Linked DNA regions of Oryctolagus cuniculus. The main gene of each other region encodes a partner of the protein of the gene in region 4 in a complex. Links are inferred from orthologs where the notes say so. Each region holds a gene or a part of one and is shown on either strand. Other genes may lie near its edges.

Region 1 (4,132 bases), on a different chromosome or scaffold from region 4:
AAAGGTAGTGTTAAAATACATGTAAAAATAGTAGTATGTGGAAACAAGCAACCATCATACCAACATACACTTACATTTCTGAACGGTTCAGTACTTCTTAACAACATAATCACACCCATCTTTTCTGCATGGCCTCCAAATGAGTTGGAGCAGACATTAAAAACATGGGAACGAGAGAGGTTATGTGGGCATTCCTATCCATCTTTTAGGCTTTTCCTATCATTGTTATTTTTAAAGTCAAATCTCCGGACGTCTTCACGCTTGGAAGTACTTAAGTAGTTTTGGCATAATTCAATTAAACAACTATTTCGGTGGTTTTTTTTTTTTTTTTTTTTTTTTTTTTTTTTTTTTTTTTGCATCTTAGTCATTACTGTGCCAGCCACTAGGCGTAAAGAGGTTTTAAGATATTAGCCCAGTTCCAGCAGTCTTGTGAAGTTTACATTTTAGTTCAGGCTTTCACAAGGAGAGGTAGTGAAGGTGCTAGCATATGGGCTTTGGAACCTGTGTGACCTTGGCATTGGATTTTTGAGACTCGACTTCCCCATTTGTAACCTAATTACTGGCTTCCAATGAAGCTGTTGTTACCTGGCTTCACCTCCGGTGTAAGCACCATCGGAAAGTGAGGCTAAGCGAATGCTGCTCTTCTCCCCGCTTAGTCCCTGGCATTATTCAAAGGCCAGTTCGCCCCTCATTCACCAAGGAGCCCTGGCTTGTTTTTCTCTGCAGCTTAGTTGCCTGGGTGTGCCTGGGGAGGCGTCACAAAGAGCCTATTACAGGTCTCCACCCACAGCACGAGTGCAAGTGCTGCCAGGAACCTAAGGTCTTTGGGGCGAGGCGTTTGGTTTCGGATTGTTCTCGGGGCCACTATCCACTGAGCTTGGGTTCTGCGACTCGCAAGGACAAGCGCAGAATCACGGAGCTGCTCAGTTTTCTGCCATGTCTTAGCCATCCTCACGCCCTCCTGTCCACCCCACCCTCCGGAGCGAGTGAATGCGCAAATAAGGGTTTTCAGCCCTCTGTGGGAAAAGGGGAGGGGTAGGCAAACTCGAGGATGGACTGGGCAGTGGCAGGGCTCCAGCGAGAGAAGAGAGAGCACATGCCCTCAGCGAGGGGAGTCAAAACCCGGCTGTCCCGGGCCGGAGGAAGCTGAGGCAAGGCGCTGAACGGGCGGGGACCGAAGGCGGGCTGCAGGCCGCGGCCAGCACCCACTCCGCCCCCAGGCCTCCTCTCGTCCGGAGGCCACCCCCCCTCCGCGTCTCGTTTGGTTTCGACCTGACGAATGGGAGGGGCTGTGGACGCCATTCCCACAATGCTCTGGGGCGTGCCGCCGCCGTCGCTGCCGCCTCCGCTGCCGCTAGTGGAAGAAGATGGCGGAAGGCGGAGCGGCGGATTTGGACACCCAGCGGTCTGACATCGCGACGTTGCTCAAAACCTCGCTCCGGAAAGGGGACACCTGGTGAGGGGGAAGGGGTTGAGGTGGCCGCGGATGCGCGCGGGTGGTGGAGAACAGGGCGGGAACCGCAGGCTAGTGTCTTTCGCGAGTGACAGGTGCGGGCAGGTCCGGCTGCGGCCGCCCTGGGCAGCAGGATTTTGGGGCAAAGGTTGGACTGGACCTGAGGGCCGGCGTTCCAGACTTGCTTAGGCACGCTGAGAGGTATGCCGGGGACGCCGGCGGCGGCTCGTGGGGGTCTCTGGGTCCTTGTTGCTCCCGTAGTGCCGCTCCCACCTCAGGCCTGCCCGAGTGATAGGTTTCAGTCGTTCGGCGCGAGTCTTCCTCGGGGTTGACAGGTCTGGGTCCCGCGGCTTGTCACGGTCTCCCCCACGCTACTTCCCCAGTCACTTCTTTCCCCGGCATTGTCGGCATCCAAGTTCCCCATTCTTCCGATTCTTGCAGTCTTCCGGGAGACAGGCTGCAGGATGTTTGCGGTCGGTACTTACACAGGTGGCATGTGCTACGGCTCCACTCGAGAAAAAGAAACCCTAGTTTTCCAGTTCCTTGTCAGAAAATTAAAAAATAAAAAAAAAAAAGGGAGGGAGAAGGTAGGGAGCCTTAGGCTTGAGAGAGGGACCACGTGGTCTTGTGCTTGAGCGGAGGCTTGATAGAAACCGGCAGCGTTTCGGTTAGAATTGCAGCCCTTCCCTCCTGTTTGAAGGATAACGTAGGCCTGCAGAAAGTAGATAAGTCCACTTGAGCCTTCAGGAACTCGCTCGTAGTCAAACTTGTAAAATACCAAAGGATATGGTACACTTAAAATACCGGAGGAAGTTATGTGTAGATTTTCATGCTTTCGGCCATAGCAAGTGGCATCCAGAATAACTTAAGGATATGGTTTGGGTAACAGAAAGAGAAAGCGCTGTGTTTTGGAGGAAGAGTAGCGTGCCACTTGATTAAATTGTTTTTCCTTCCCACCGTCACCCTAATGGTGGTATGTAATTGGCGGAGTGTTTTCTTGAATGATGGCTTCCTGGAGGGGGGATAGGATTTAGAGACCTCAGTTATTTTCACGGTTTCACCACTTGCTGTGTGACTTTGAAGCAAGTTCATTTAAACCATTTTGCATCTCCATATCTTCATCTGTAAAATGGACAATAATTTTTATTATAGGGGCTTTATGTTGATTCAGTTAAATATCCCAAAAGGTTTGATATTTATGAGCTGTTACATTTTAGTTCTTTATCTCTGCCATATACTCCTAACAAAATGCTGTCATATTGTAATTGTTTTCAAATAAGTTAACAAGTGACATACTTAGGAACTGAATTTAGGTACTTTGATATAAGTCTTAGTACTTTTTCCCTAGTTTGGAAGGATACATATACTGTTGTATGAAAAACCTCTAATAGTGTAAATATATACTTGTTGCATTATGCAAAATAGTTTTTGCATTTTCAATGTTACTGTAAATCATTTAAAAGATATATTGTAAAGAATACATAGAGGAAGTCTATAAATTTGTCATTTCCTTTCATTTTAAAGAAAAGGAAACTGAGAAAGAGATACTTAGCCAATGGCAGACTTGTGTTTTCCTCTTGTTAATTTTTCTATTTTACTTAAAGGGGGAAAAATTGCAGGTGCAGGATAGTATTGGGGAATTGTAGAAGCCAGTGTGGTTTATATGTGAGGCAGTTTACTTGCAAATTAGCAGGTGAAATCTGTTAAAAAGGGAGCCTTGTAGAGCAAAAGTCTGATTCAGAGTTTTAAGGAGAGTAATTTGGTACAGATTTGATAGTGAACTCACGAATAAAGTACTGGTAGTGATATTGAATAATTACTAGGTTGTTTGGTGTATATTTAATTTTTGAGTTTGTCTTTTATGGGTACTTTAGCAAAACCTGCCCTATTTTAGAGCTGAAACCAGCCATATGCAAATGGAACATTGTCTTGGCACGTATATATAACCATTTCAGAAACACTGATTGGGCTATTGAGAGAAAAAATAGTTTATTCTTAAGCTTTAATAGAGATGCCTGGAGTTATAGTCAAATACATTAAAACGAGTGAATTTTATTCGTTAGCTTTTTAGCGTAGTCTCATAGTACTCTGGTAACTAAATACCTTGGCAGGTATTAAGATTTATTTGATTTTGGGTGCTTACTAGAGTTTCTGTTAATTTATAAGCAGTGAGTGATTTTTATTAGCAGATGAAAATAAGTTACAGAAATCTGAGATGACGAGGAACATACTTTGGTACTAGATTTTATAGTGAGAAGTAATTCAAAGTAGCTGCAAGAAAGTTATTCCTCTTAAAAAGGTGAGATAGAAAAGTAACACTTATCAGGGTAAGAAGTAATAAAGCACTAGTCTAATAATGTTATTTGTTGATGTATGTTTCACTTCCAACAAGAGATTCAAAAAATTAAGGACAGGATTAAGGTAGAATTTAGGAACTATAGGAAAAAGATAAAGAATTGTCTGGCTAAGGATAAATGAAAGACAGCTTGGAGATACATAGTGATTTCTCATGATGAGACAAAAAGAATTTGTTTAAAGTACATTACATGTAAGTATTTTGGCAGTCTATTAAAAATGGTAGATGAATGATTTACAAAGAAAGTTTTGAGTTGTGGAATTCTGTCTTTGGAGATTTCTTTTAAAATAGACCTATTATGAGCCAATAAACAAGTAACTATA
Region 2 (4,108 bases), on a different chromosome or scaffold from region 4:
GAGGGTGAACCAACGGCAAAGGAAGACCTTTCTCTCTCTCTCTCTCACTGTCCACTCTGCCTGTCAAAAAAAAAAAAAAAAAAATTCTCATTTACTGCCGTTCACAACCTGATACTTAAAACGTAGGTACTAACAATTGCATATTTTAAGAGTCAGAAATGAGGCATCTTGCCCAGCATCAAGACGTCGGAGCCACTTCACCACGAGACAGGAAGGCCCAAGTTTGCGCCCATGGCGGGTGGTGGTGGGAGCCTCCCGCCTCGAGGGGTGCCGCTTGAAACCTTCTGCACACGGGAATTAAATATTACTAAGAATGACGATGACGAAGGCATACGGTACACGGAGACGTCAGCATCGTGCTCGGGACCTGCAAGCACTGAGTGAGTGCTGCTAACTTCACGCTACACCTTCCCGGGGCACCACTGCTCCTGTTCTCACGGGTTTGGGCTACTTATTAGGAGGGGGATGTTCAAACGAGTGGCAGTGCTCGGCACCCACCAGCAATATTAAAAAAAGCCCGCCTCAGGCCGGCCGCGGCTCACTAGGCTAATCCTCCGCCTTGCGGCGCCGGCACCCCGGGTTCTAGTCCTGGTCAGGGTGCTGGATTCTGTCCCTGTTACTCCTCTTCCAGGCCAGCTCTCTGCTGTGGCCCGGGAGTGCAGTGGAGGATGGCCCAAGTGCTTGGGCCCTGCACCCCATGGGAGACCAGAAGTACCTGGCTCCTGCCATCGGATCAGCGCGGTGCGCCGGCCATTGGAGGGTAAACCAACAGCAAAGGAAGACCTTTCTCTCTGTCTCTCTGTCTCACTATCCACTCTGCCTGTCAAAAAAAAAAAAAAAGCCCGCCTCTGCTGGCTTTACATCTCCGCGGTACGATAGCGGCTACGCTCTTCGCTTCTCACCTATTCTACAAAGCTCTGCCACCGTCCCATTTTACGTCGCCACTTCAGCCAGGAGCAAAGTTCTCGTAGGACCCACCAAGCGGCACGTGGCCGTGAGCCGCCACCATAATAGTCCCAGGAACTGCCTCGCAGCACCCCCCTCCCCCCCGCAAACAACCATCGCGAGCTCAGTTCTCGCGGGAAGAGACGCGGTTTTTAAACGTAAACGTATGACTCCGCCCTACTCGGCGCGTGGGGTGGGGGTGGGGTCACGTGACCGGCGCCTGCGCCCTCTCTTCAAGGTCTTTCCTGGCGGTACGCAAGCTGCACAGCCGGCTACGGAGCGTCGCGAGGGCCATTCCGGAAGTGGGCGCTCAGACTTCCGCTTCGTCGGCGGAAGCGTGTCACAAAGCCGGCCGTCGAATCCTAGCGGAAACTCGTCACGTCGCAGTTGCCCCCGCACGGCGGATGTGTGTCGCCGCGTAGGTGACGCTGGGAAGTGCTCGCAGCCTCTGCTGCTGCCTTCTGGTTGTAGCACTATGGAGGGAGAGAGGAAGAACAGCAACAAGCGGTGGTATTTTACTCGAGAACAGCTGGAGAACAGCCCATCCCGCCGGTGTGGCCTGGACCCCGATAAGGAACTTTCTTATCGCCAGCAGGCGGCCAATCTGCTTCAGGACATGGGTCAACGTCTTTTCGTGTATCCTTGCGGCCTAGGCCTTCGGGCCTGGGAGTCGGTGCCGGCCGGGCTCGGGGCGGGGACGGGAGGTGGGCAGGAGCCGGAGCGCTAGGTGAGCGAGCGCGCCGCGGGGCGGGTTGAAAGTCGGGGTTGGCGCCAGGGCAGCGAGGCGGAGTTCGTTTCCCGCTTGCTCACCCTTGCCGGGAATGCAGGCCCTTCCCGGCTTTGTGTTTCCACCGGTTCTCGTGGTCTGCCGGCTGCCTTTGAGCTTGTTCTTTCCCTTACGCCCTCGGGGTCTGGTGGAGGGTTCACTGTTGACGCCTGTCCCCCTTAAACTCGGCGTGTTAGCGATTCAGTACCCGAAAGCCTTGCACAGGTGGCTTAGAATTCGTGTCCAAGCAGTGGTTCCGAATCTGTGACTCCCGCGTGCTGATTTAACTTGGTCAGAGGCTTCCTCCGTCCTGGCCCGCCTCGGTTCCGTGTCCACCACGGTGCTTGGGGGCCAGACGTCGAAGGGGGCGCTGTTAGAAGTTCTGAGGAAGGAAAAGATGGCAGATTAGGTGTGTAGGGGATGCGTAGAGCTGTGGATCTCATGTTTCCCACCGTTTGCGAGATTCTGGGTGCTTAACGCTACGCCGAGTTTGAGTGTGTATTCGTTCCTTTCGTAATTCAAAATTGAGCGAATTCCGTGCTTTGTTTTTCCGCCCGAATGTATTTGCTTGTCGGAAGACGTTTGTTTTGCGTCGGAGGGAAGAATGTCGTTTTCAAGCTGCTTCTGTCGTGGGCTGAAAACTTTTTTCTGAAGTGCAGCTTCCATGTAATTGGTCGTGTTTGTGGGGGTGCGCCCAGTCTGAAATGCAGGGGTTGCCCTCTGTTGCCAGCCTGTTTTCCGTATCAAATTTGTTTCCTAAGCATCTGATCTGTACAGAGCTAAATCATGTTGTCTGAGATCCGGTTTTCAGTGTATCCTTGAAACTTTTTATATGTGTGTTATTCACCTTGTTGCTAAGTGACATTTCTGTATCTCATGTTGTTTGGGACGGCCTTAAGATGTAAGACATGAAAACAGTTTTATTTTCAGCGAATGAATATCAGGCCTTTTGAAAAATGGTAGTCCCAGGGGTTGCTCTGTGACCAGAGAGAGGTGGAACTGTAAACTTAATTGCTGGGGTGTAGAAGCTGAGGGAGATAGTGGTGACATATTCCCCAGGGCTATGGCTGCATCAGGGAGGACCTTGTAAATGATGATTAAAGAGATACCCCGAGCTAATGCATCATCTTTGCAGGGTGTTCAGAAGGTGAGTGAAAGCATTTAAGAGCTCATTACATAGTTTTGTTTATAAGCCATATTGAGCCACACAGCCCGAGAAACTTAGTAATTCGGTGAATTTGTAGTGAGTACTTGTGTAAGTAAATGTGGAAGGCATTGTGGTCAGTGCCAGTTGGCAGTTAATAATTTGGCGGAGGAGAATGGGCTGCTTTCTGATTTGGAGAGGTAAGTAGGTTTTCCTTTAAGGGCATCTATCATGCTTGGTCTTCTGGTCTTTCTGGAAGGGGCCAGATGTTATGTTTTCTGGAAGTATCCTGCTTGTTTTTGCCTTCACTGGAGCACTTCAGCTCGCAACTGACCATCAACACCGCTATAGTATATGTGCATCGATTCTACATGATCCAATCCTTCACTCAGTTTCATCGAAATGTGAGTATGACTTTTCTTATGTGGTGTTCGCTTCGTGAGTCTTCTACATACCTGTTTCTTCAGGTTGGTCTTTGCCACTGAGCTGGGATTTGAACTTGAGAACTCTGCTGCTCACTTTCATTCTGTGTCACACTGTTGCTATGAATACAGCTTTCCCATTTTCCTATGAAATGTAGTTTTCTGCACCCTTACAGTAGGTAGGTTCTCTAGTAATGAAATAGATTATCAAACGTGTAAAGATGTTTTTGTGGGGGATGGCATTAAAGTGGAAATCATATTTCAGTAGAGCGTTCAAAGTGGCAAAATAATGTCACAGGAAAGCAAATGAATATAAGTAATTTAGATTTTCACAAGCCTTTTACAAAACTCCAATCAATGCCCAGAGGATCTGGAATGTACAAAATGTGGTAATGCCTCGAGAAATGAATTTTAAGAACAGAACAAAGAAGATGTTAGCAGTAAAAGACCTTTTTTTCCCTCCTGGACAGATTGTAAATTATGCTACTTTCAGTTTTGCTAACTGAAATGGTCCTATTTAAGATTATTATAAGTAGCTTGGAAGTGAATGCATAGTGGTAGTCCACTAAGGCTGTATTTGTTTTGAAAACATTCCAAGGTAATGGTGATAAGCTTGAGGAACACTTTATATGGTTTGCTCATCAGAGATTTCATTATTTTGTAAAAAGAAAAAGGTTATGCTTTTGAATAAATTTGTTTTAGGCTTTACTTTGGGATGATGGTTTTGAGCTTTTTTTTTTTAAGCTCTTGGAAGAGAGTTTGTGAAGCTAGATATAGCTCCTGTAAAGTAAGAAATGGGCAGAATCCAGGGGCTGATGTTGTGATGTAGCA
Region 3 (3,560 bases), on a different chromosome or scaffold from region 4:
ATTGCTTAATCTTTATCATCATATGGCAAATGGGCAAAGATTATACCTGCTGCCCTTCAGAACCTGATTCCCAAGCTTGAGGAACAGGCTCCTAGGTCAGGACTGGCAGCCGCAGCCCAAGAAGTCTAAAGAGGGCACCCCAACGTCCCTTCCACCCGCCACAATGTCCTGCAGTCTCTCCCCACACCCCAGGACCCCGCTCTGCTGCTCACCAATGGTGTCTGCCTTGCTGAAATGGCAACTCAGCACATTCGTGGGGTCACTGTTCTCACAAAGCTTCAGTTCCAGCAAATACACCTCCACTTTGCAGTGCTTGACAAACAGGCCATGCTCCACAACCTGGAACAGGCAGGGGAGGGAGCAGGGGCTGGATGCAAGGGCAGTCCAGGAAGCAGCGTGTTTCATCAACAGCAAAAAGCAGGTACTTCATGAAATCACTTTCCTTCAATGCTCAGCAGACTAGAAGTAGTTTTTGTTTGTTTAGTTTTAAATTTGAGAGACCAGAAAAAACAACTGAGAGGAAAGGGGAACAGATAGAGAGCTCCCACCCACTGGTTCACTCTCCAAATACCCACAGTCACCTGGCTGGTACTAAGACTGAATCCTGGAGCTTGGTCCCCCATGTTGGGGGACAGGACGGGCACCTTGATCAGCACATTAACTGATAAGCTAAACATCTCCCCCAGAAGTACAAAGTTTTAAAGCCTTCAGCACCTACCCCAGGAGTCTAAAAATCTCGTTCCAGGTAGTAGCATGTAACATAGTGGTTCAAGCAAGTCTCAGTTCTGGTTCCTGACCCCAGCTTCCTGCTAACGCAGACCCTGGGAGAGAGCAGCAATAGCTCAAGTAATTGGGTTCCTGCCACCGACGTGGGAGACCTGGATTGCATTCTCGGCTCCCAGCTTTGGCCCTACACCAGCTCTGGCCACTGGGTGGGAGCTCTTTATATATAAGTATGTCTCTCAAATAAATTAAAAACCTTTCTTCCATACTTTCAGCACCAGTGAAAGGCACCTCGACGGAACCAGAGACAACCCTTTCCTCACTGGATTTAACGCGATACCAGGGCTCCCAGGCAGGTCTCAAGAAGTCTTCTTTGAACAGAGAAGTCTTGTTTTTTTTTTTACTTTTCTGTGTTTTTGTTTGTTTGTATTTATTTATTTATTTGAAAGAGTTACAGAGAAAGAGAGGGAAAGACAAGAGCGGTTTTCCATCCACTGGTTCACACCCCAAGTGGCCTCAATGGCTAGGAATGAGCCAGGCCCAAGCCAGGGGCCAGGAGCTTCATCAGGGTCTCCCACGTGGGTGGCATGGGCCCAAGCACTTGGGTCATCTTCAGCTGCTTTTCCCATGGAGAAAGGCAGGGAAATGGGTCAGAAGCAAAGCACCAGGACTGGAACTGACACCCATATGGGATTACCAGTGTTGTGGGTGGCAGCTTTACCTGCTACGCCACAACATCAGCCCCAGAAAGGTCTTACTTAAGACTTGCAAGGGGCCAGCGCTGTGGCACAGTGGGTTAACACCCTGGCCTGGAGCACCGGCATCCGATATGGGTGCCGGTTCGAGATCTGGCTGCTCTACTTCCAATCCAGCTCCCTGCTATGGCCTGGGAAAGCAGTAGAAGATGGCCCAAGTCCTTGGGCCCCTGCACCCGTGTGGGAGACCTGGAGGAAGCACCTGGCTCCTGCCTTCGGATCAACGCAGCTCCAGCCTTTGCAGCCATCTGGGGAGTGAACCAGCAAATGGAAGACCTCTCTCTCTGTCTCTACCTCTTTCTTTAACTCCGTCTTCAAATAAATAAAATAAATCTTTAAAAAAAAAAAGTGTTGGCAAAAGTAAACTCTACTCTTTCCCCTCAAAATACATGGGCATGTATTTTACATTCTTACTATAGAGAATTACTTTGCATATCTACAACATGGCACTGGTACAGCCACGAGACGGTCATGACACAAAATTCAAAAGTTAATTAACAAATTCAGAAATAATGACAAAGAATAACCCTGCCCGTAAGCCCAGACACTGCACAAAAGGGAAGTCATCACTCATCTCTGAGCGAGGATCAATGGACCCTCCTTGCAGGAGGCTCAGGGAACACAGGTGCAGCACTAGGCAGAGCGCTCGCAAGGCAGCACTGAGGGAAGCAGGGGGTTTCTGCTAGTGCCTGGCATTTCTGACTCCTCCTCGCTCCCAGGCTTCCAGGTTTTAAGCTGGAAAGAAACGCAGTTCTGGTCCTGAACTGTGACATCAGAAGCATGGTCTCAGAATTGTAGCTTTTTCCTCCTCTGTTAAGAATGGGAAACAGGACAGGTATTCAGCCCCAGCGTCAAGCTGCCAGTGGGGCACCTGTCCCCGCCTCAGAGAGCTCGAGTTGGAGTCCCTGCTCTGTTCCTGAATCCAATTTTCTGTTTTATGGACCCTGGAAGGTACTGGTTATGGCTCAAGTGATGAGGTTCCTGCCACACGCACGGGAAACCTGGACTGAGTTCCTGGCTCCCAGCTTCAGCCCCTGGCCTGTGGCTACTGCAGGGATTTGGGGAGTGAACCAATAGATGGAAGTGTGCGCTCTCTCTTGCTCTTTTCTCTCTGCCTCTCAAATAATTTCTTTAAAGTTTTATTTAAAAAAATTAAAAACCGGAAAATGTATCCAGAGCCTAAATATCAGCAGGCACGTGGGCTCCTGTGATTTCTCTCTGGTGTAAGCAGCACAAGCGCTGTGGGAGACAGGGTGGTGGTGTCCTCCCGAGTCCCATCTATCACAGGCACTAACAACCCAGGTTCTGTCCCAAGCCGCCTTTCCCTCAGGTTATTCCTCTCTGGGCAGTAAATGCCTGCATTTTTAATTATTCAACAGTGCGGCCAAAGACTCCTAACAGCGGGGAAACGAGCAGTGCACTGTATGTCCCCGTGTCCCCAGTGAACACCTCCTCAGGAAGCCCTCCAGAAGGCGCACTCACAGCACTGGGCAGCTCTGATGTCCTGAGCCCATTCGCAGTCCTACCCTGGGCGAGCAGCCTCTCTCACCATCATTCACAATAATTCCCAGAAGAGAAACAAATACAAGACGCCACCCCCTTCTCCCAGCCCCTTTGGTGCACGCGTCTTCCTAGGGAACCAGGAGCAGCCAGTGTCCCCCCAGGAGCAGCGGCAGACGCCACGCAGCACGTGTGACGACCCATGGACTCACTTTTCGCACAATGGGCTGCTGACCTTCTACACAGCCATACCAGTTTAGTAATTTATTCCAGGCCTCAGTTGGAACCAATACGTAGTCCAATTCATCAATTAAGTGTTCTTTCAAGGTCTGACTCTCAGGATCTGAAAAAGGAAAACAGCACATAACTCACTGTTGTCCCTCTCCCACCAACGATTTTTAAATGATTTTCATGCATTTTTCAGAAACAAAAGAAGTATTTACAGGAACAAGTGCAAAATTCCAAATGTCTGTCACTGGCCGTAACACAGAGCAGACTTGTACTGCTCTCTGTCCTTAGCCATGTTTTCTGAACATTTGAAGGAAATCATATTTCTTCTATAATTGGAGGCAGCACAGGACA
Region 4 (3,560 bases):
AGACTCCCTGGGGGCGCAGGCACTCAGCCCAGCGGTCAGGATGCCCAAGTCAGTCCTACAGCAGAGAACCTGGCTCCCGGCTCCCTACTCCTGCCAGTGCAGACCCTGGGAGTTGGCAGGCGATGGCTCGACAGACAGACAGCTGGCCGCCCAGACCCACCTGAGAGACTGACTGCATTCCCAGCCCCAACCCAGCCCCAGCCACTATGGGCCTGTAGGGATTGAATCAGAAGAGGGGAGGGCACTCGCGCTCTGCCTGTCAAATAATAAAAATACTGTCGAAGAAGAAGCTCGGTGCCTCTAGAACGTCAGCTTCCTTACTGAACTGGCAAGGCTGCTTCCAAAGCCGTAAGTCCCTGATAAAAGTGAGAGAGTTTAAAAACTCAAGCATCAAACTGAAGTTTACAACTGAAGATCCATCACAGCAGAAATAATTTAAATCAAAATGACCACGAGATTTGACTTAGAAAAGTTCTATTTATAGCTACAGGCCGCCCTGAGGAAGGGTTCTGAGCACCACTCAGCAAGAAGAGTTTAAGAGAACTTCTGTTTAATAAACAAAGCTAAACGGGGAGGACATGGTGTTTCAACAAAACCAAAGAGCTGAAACTCAGGGTTTAGACAAGAAAAGCCAGTCGGCAGGCAGAGGAAGTGGCCCGCGGCAGGTGGCACACGGCCTCCGGTACAGGTATAAAACAAACATCTGGATACTGCTTTTAGGAAACGAAACCACAGGCTGAGGTGTCATTTACAAACACAATAGAAAAACACACAGCCCCCGAACAAAAACCCACTGGACTTCTCCTACGTGGCCTCCCCTGCTCCCACCCCTTCCTAAAATAGGCCGTTCTGGTGAGTTACTAGCATTTGCCAGTCCATCTTTTAAAAATTAAAAGAGTGATGGGCACGTATACCGTGCAGGTGTGAGAGAAGTGACTTAGAAAAAGGGCTGGGGCCGGCTGGGAGCGTCGGGACGAGCGGGTCTCCACGCTGCCCCAGACCCAGCTGCTCCTCACTCGGGAAGACACCCATGTGCCTCAGGATGCCACGCCCTGAGCTCACGTTCCTGCCGTCGCCCTCAATGTGAGGGAGCACTGACGCCGCTTCACGGGGAACACTCCCCTTCTGTCTGACCCAGAGGAAAGCCCGTGGCCGTGGGTGGGCACTGGGCCAGTCCCTTCTGTCCCCGGAGTACTGGCCGGCGAGAAGGCCTTTCCCGTCTCCCGCAGAGTCCGCTCACTTTCTCAGAAGCAGCTTGGCGAAATCGGCATTGGACATCTTGGGCGCCTCTGTGGCCTCAGGGGCGGCGTTGGCAGGACGTGGGGCAGGGCCGTTCTCAGCCTGAGGAGTCCCGGCACCAGGGCGCTGCAGGGCACGAGGCAGCAGAGAGAGCTGGGTCCTGCCCTTCCCCCGCCTGCAAAAGCAAACACTGACTGTACACTTCAAAGCACTGACCCGCAACCCCCACGGTACCGTGAAGAAGAGCCAGGATCCTGCACATCACGCAAAGTTCATGATGAAAAATGAAAACCCACCAGAGGCGGCCTGTCCCTGTACCTGGCTGTTACTTAAAAGCCACTGCAGGAAGCTCTGCCTTCTTCATTAACTGGCCAGGACTGACTCTGAGCAAGTCACACTCTGGGGTGAGAAGTGGCTGTCACCTCCGAGACCTCTCCAACCACCCTGCAGCCTGGCTCCTGTCGGGCAGAAGACACGGCCTCTCTAGGGAGCGCAGCCGCAGGCTGGCAAGCTCGGGCATCAGGGGGCGGGTGACGTCATCAGTGCCGGTGAAACATCTGACCTTGGACCAGTGTCACCTGGCAAACACGAGGCAGGGCCCCGCTGCCTGGGCCTCCTTCTGGCCTGGACTCGCCCTGGACACCTTGCCCGGCAGAACCACGGGGTCATCGCCGGGATAGCAGGCCCATGTGCTCTTGTCCTAACTCCTCTTACCAACAGGGACCTAACTGTTGCCTCATCTAGCCCTTCATGGCCGGGCGCTGGCCAGCACAAACACTCACGCTCCGTATATCTGCCGCGGCACCAGGGGGCCACCCGGCGCTTTCCTGGCCTCCGGCTTCTCTGGAGCCTTCCTCTGAGGGGGGTTGCTGATCGCCACTTTGATGACGTTCTCTCTGATGGTCATGCCGTCCATCTTCATCACAGCCTGCGACGCCTGGGATTCGTTTTCGTACTCCACGTAGGCCAGGCCCTGGAAGAGACATGATCAGAGCCAGGTGAGCTGCCGCACACCCAGGAGCAGCTTCCTCCTCACTCTGCAACGCAGGCACCTCATCAACTGGCTCCCCTCCCCACGGCTGCCACCCTGTCCACAGCTTGACTTCCCTCCCTACTCCTGTCCTCCGCTGCCGGGAGTGACTGCAGCGCAGAGGAGCCAAGTTCAGATCACCTTGAGCTTGCTCCCCAAGAGAAAAATGAAAGTAACAATCAGACCAGCATAAGTCCAGCCAACAGACTGAGGAGGTGGGCTGGGGACAGACACCGGGGAGCAGCCCTGGTGCCCAGGGGAGCGCCGAGGTCTCTGCTCCTCCATGCCCGCCTTCCCGTCACACTCCTCAACTAACTCTTCATTTACCTGCATGGCTGGGCCGCGGGCAAGGGAGTGAGAGGGGGTCCAGAATCACGTCTCAACAGTAACTGCTGAAAGGTGGAGCAGAAAGGAGTGGGCCGCAGGGGAGGATGTGCTAAGGGGTCCACTCGAGGCCCCGAGGTGGCCCAGTGAGGGCCTCAGGAAGAGCAGCGGTAACCACAGCAGAGGGACCCCCTCCCCGAGGCCTCTAGCCAGGGGGCCACACTGCGGCGCTTAGGAATCTGTGATGAATTTAATTTCTAAATGCCTATTCCTCTGTAATACACACAGCTGCAAACAGTTTCACCTGACTCCGCATGGGGCGGGCGTCATGGAACAGCAAGTTAAACCACTGCTCAGAACACACCGGCACCCTACACCTGAGTGCCAATTTCAACTCGGGCTACTCTGCTTCCTGCTACCTTGCCCGGGAGGCAGCAATGGCCCAAACACCTGGGTCCCTGCCACCCACATGAGAGACCCAGATGGACTTCCTGACTTCGGCCTGACCAGCCATTTGGGGAATGAACCAGTAGATGGAAATCTTTCTCATTCTCTCCTCCTCTCCCAACCCTACTCTGTCACTCTGCTTTCCAAATACACAAATTAATCTTGAAAAAAGTATCTGCCTCCACAGGGAAGGAGACTCAGTGTGCATTCCTTGCCACTGAATCATCACGGGGAACCCACGCCAGAACGTGCGCCCCCCGCTGACCTTGGGCTTGCCGGCCCGGTTGGTGACCAGCCGGAGGTCCTTCACGGTGCCGTGAGCCTTGCAGATGTCCTCCAGCTCCTCTTTCGTGCAGGAGAAAGGCAGGCCCGAGATGAACAGCTTGTGTTTCTCCAGAGCGGTGCTGTACCTGAACACCTGCCGGAGGAGGGAGAGAAAAAGACGTGCTGTTCCGGCCGCGCCTGGCACGCCAGCCCCACAGGGCCAGCCCTGGGCAGGGAGCTCGCCCCTGCAGGCAGA

Evidence for each region.
Region 1: the proteins of SART3 (region 4) and USP15 are in contact, whole or in part, in a crystal structure (PDB 5JJW), measured with the Homo sapiens proteins. The link is inferred for Oryctolagus cuniculus from reciprocal best matches to the Homo sapiens genes SART3 and USP15. Residues at the interface, in NP_055521.1 of Homo sapiens: Ser438, Ser439, Lys440, Glu443, Gln490, Arg493, Glu494, Trp496, Asp497, Met500, Thr501, Ala505, Trp511, Tyr514, Arg533, Cys537; in NP_001239007.1 of Homo sapiens: Ser23, Leu24, Asp48, Trp50, Gly121, Met122, Phe123, Val124, Lys125, His126, Lys128.
Region 2: SART3 (region 4) and CCNT1 share a complex: the UniProt entries of both Homo sapiens proteins name them as parts of the 7SK snRNP complex. The link is inferred for Oryctolagus cuniculus from reciprocal best matches to the Homo sapiens genes SART3 and CCNT1.
Region 3: the proteins of SART3 (region 4) and USP4 are in contact, whole or in part, in a crystal structure (PDB 5CTR), measured with the Homo sapiens proteins. The link is inferred for Oryctolagus cuniculus from reciprocal best matches to the Homo sapiens genes SART3 and USP4. Residues at the interface, in NP_055521.1 of Homo sapiens: Asp437, Ser438, Ser439, Lys440, Gln490, Arg493, Glu494, Trp496, Asp497, Met500, Thr501, Ala505, Trp511, Tyr514, Lys529, Arg533, Cys537; in NP_003354.2 of Homo sapiens: Met24, Thr27, Leu28, Ser53, Trp54, Glu123, Gly125, Leu126, Phe127, Val128, Lys129, His130, Cys131, Lys132.

Annotation. Positions count from the first base shown.
Region 1 is NC_091442.1:64,569,285-64,573,416, forward strand, and holds the start of USP15 (ubiquitin carboxyl-terminal hydrolase 15), read left to right. Parts: upstream 1-1,317; 5' UTR 1,318-1,367; coding exon 1,368-1,456; intron 1,457-4,132. UniProt on the Homo sapiens protein: Hydrolase that removes conjugated ubiquitin from target proteins and regulates various pathways such as the TGF-beta receptor signaling, NF-kappa-B and RNF41/NRDP1-PRKN pathways.
Region 2 is NC_091442.1:52,212,573-52,216,680, reverse strand, and holds the start of CCNT1 (cyclin-T1), read left to right. Parts: upstream 1-1,283; 5' UTR 1,284-1,420; coding exon 1,421-1,581; intron 1,582-3,177; coding exon 3,178-3,259; intron 3,260-4,108. UniProt on the Homo sapiens protein: Regulatory subunit of the cyclin-dependent kinase pair (CDK9/cyclin-T1) complex, also called positive transcription elongation factor B (P-TEFb), which facilitates the transition from abortive to productive elongation by phosphorylating the CTD (C-terminal domain) of the large subunit of RNA polymerase II (RNA Pol II).
Region 3 is NC_091441.1:99,905,993-99,909,552, reverse strand, and holds part of USP4 (ubiquitin carboxyl-terminal hydrolase 4), read right to left. Parts: intron 3,322-3,560; coding exon 3,191-3,321; intron 340-3,190; coding exon 213-339; intron 1-212.
Region 4 is NC_091452.1:17,726,397-17,729,956, forward strand, and holds the end of SART3 (squamous cell carcinoma antigen recognized by T-cells 3), read right to left. Parts: intron 3,459-3,560; coding exon 3,306-3,458; intron 2,213-3,305; coding exon 2,022-2,212; intron 1,415-2,021; coding exon 1,237-1,414; 3' UTR 534-1,236; downstream 1-533. UniProt on the Homo sapiens protein: U6 snRNP-binding protein that functions as a recycling factor of the splicing machinery. Promotes the initial reassembly of U4 and U6 snRNPs following their ejection from the spliceosome during its maturation.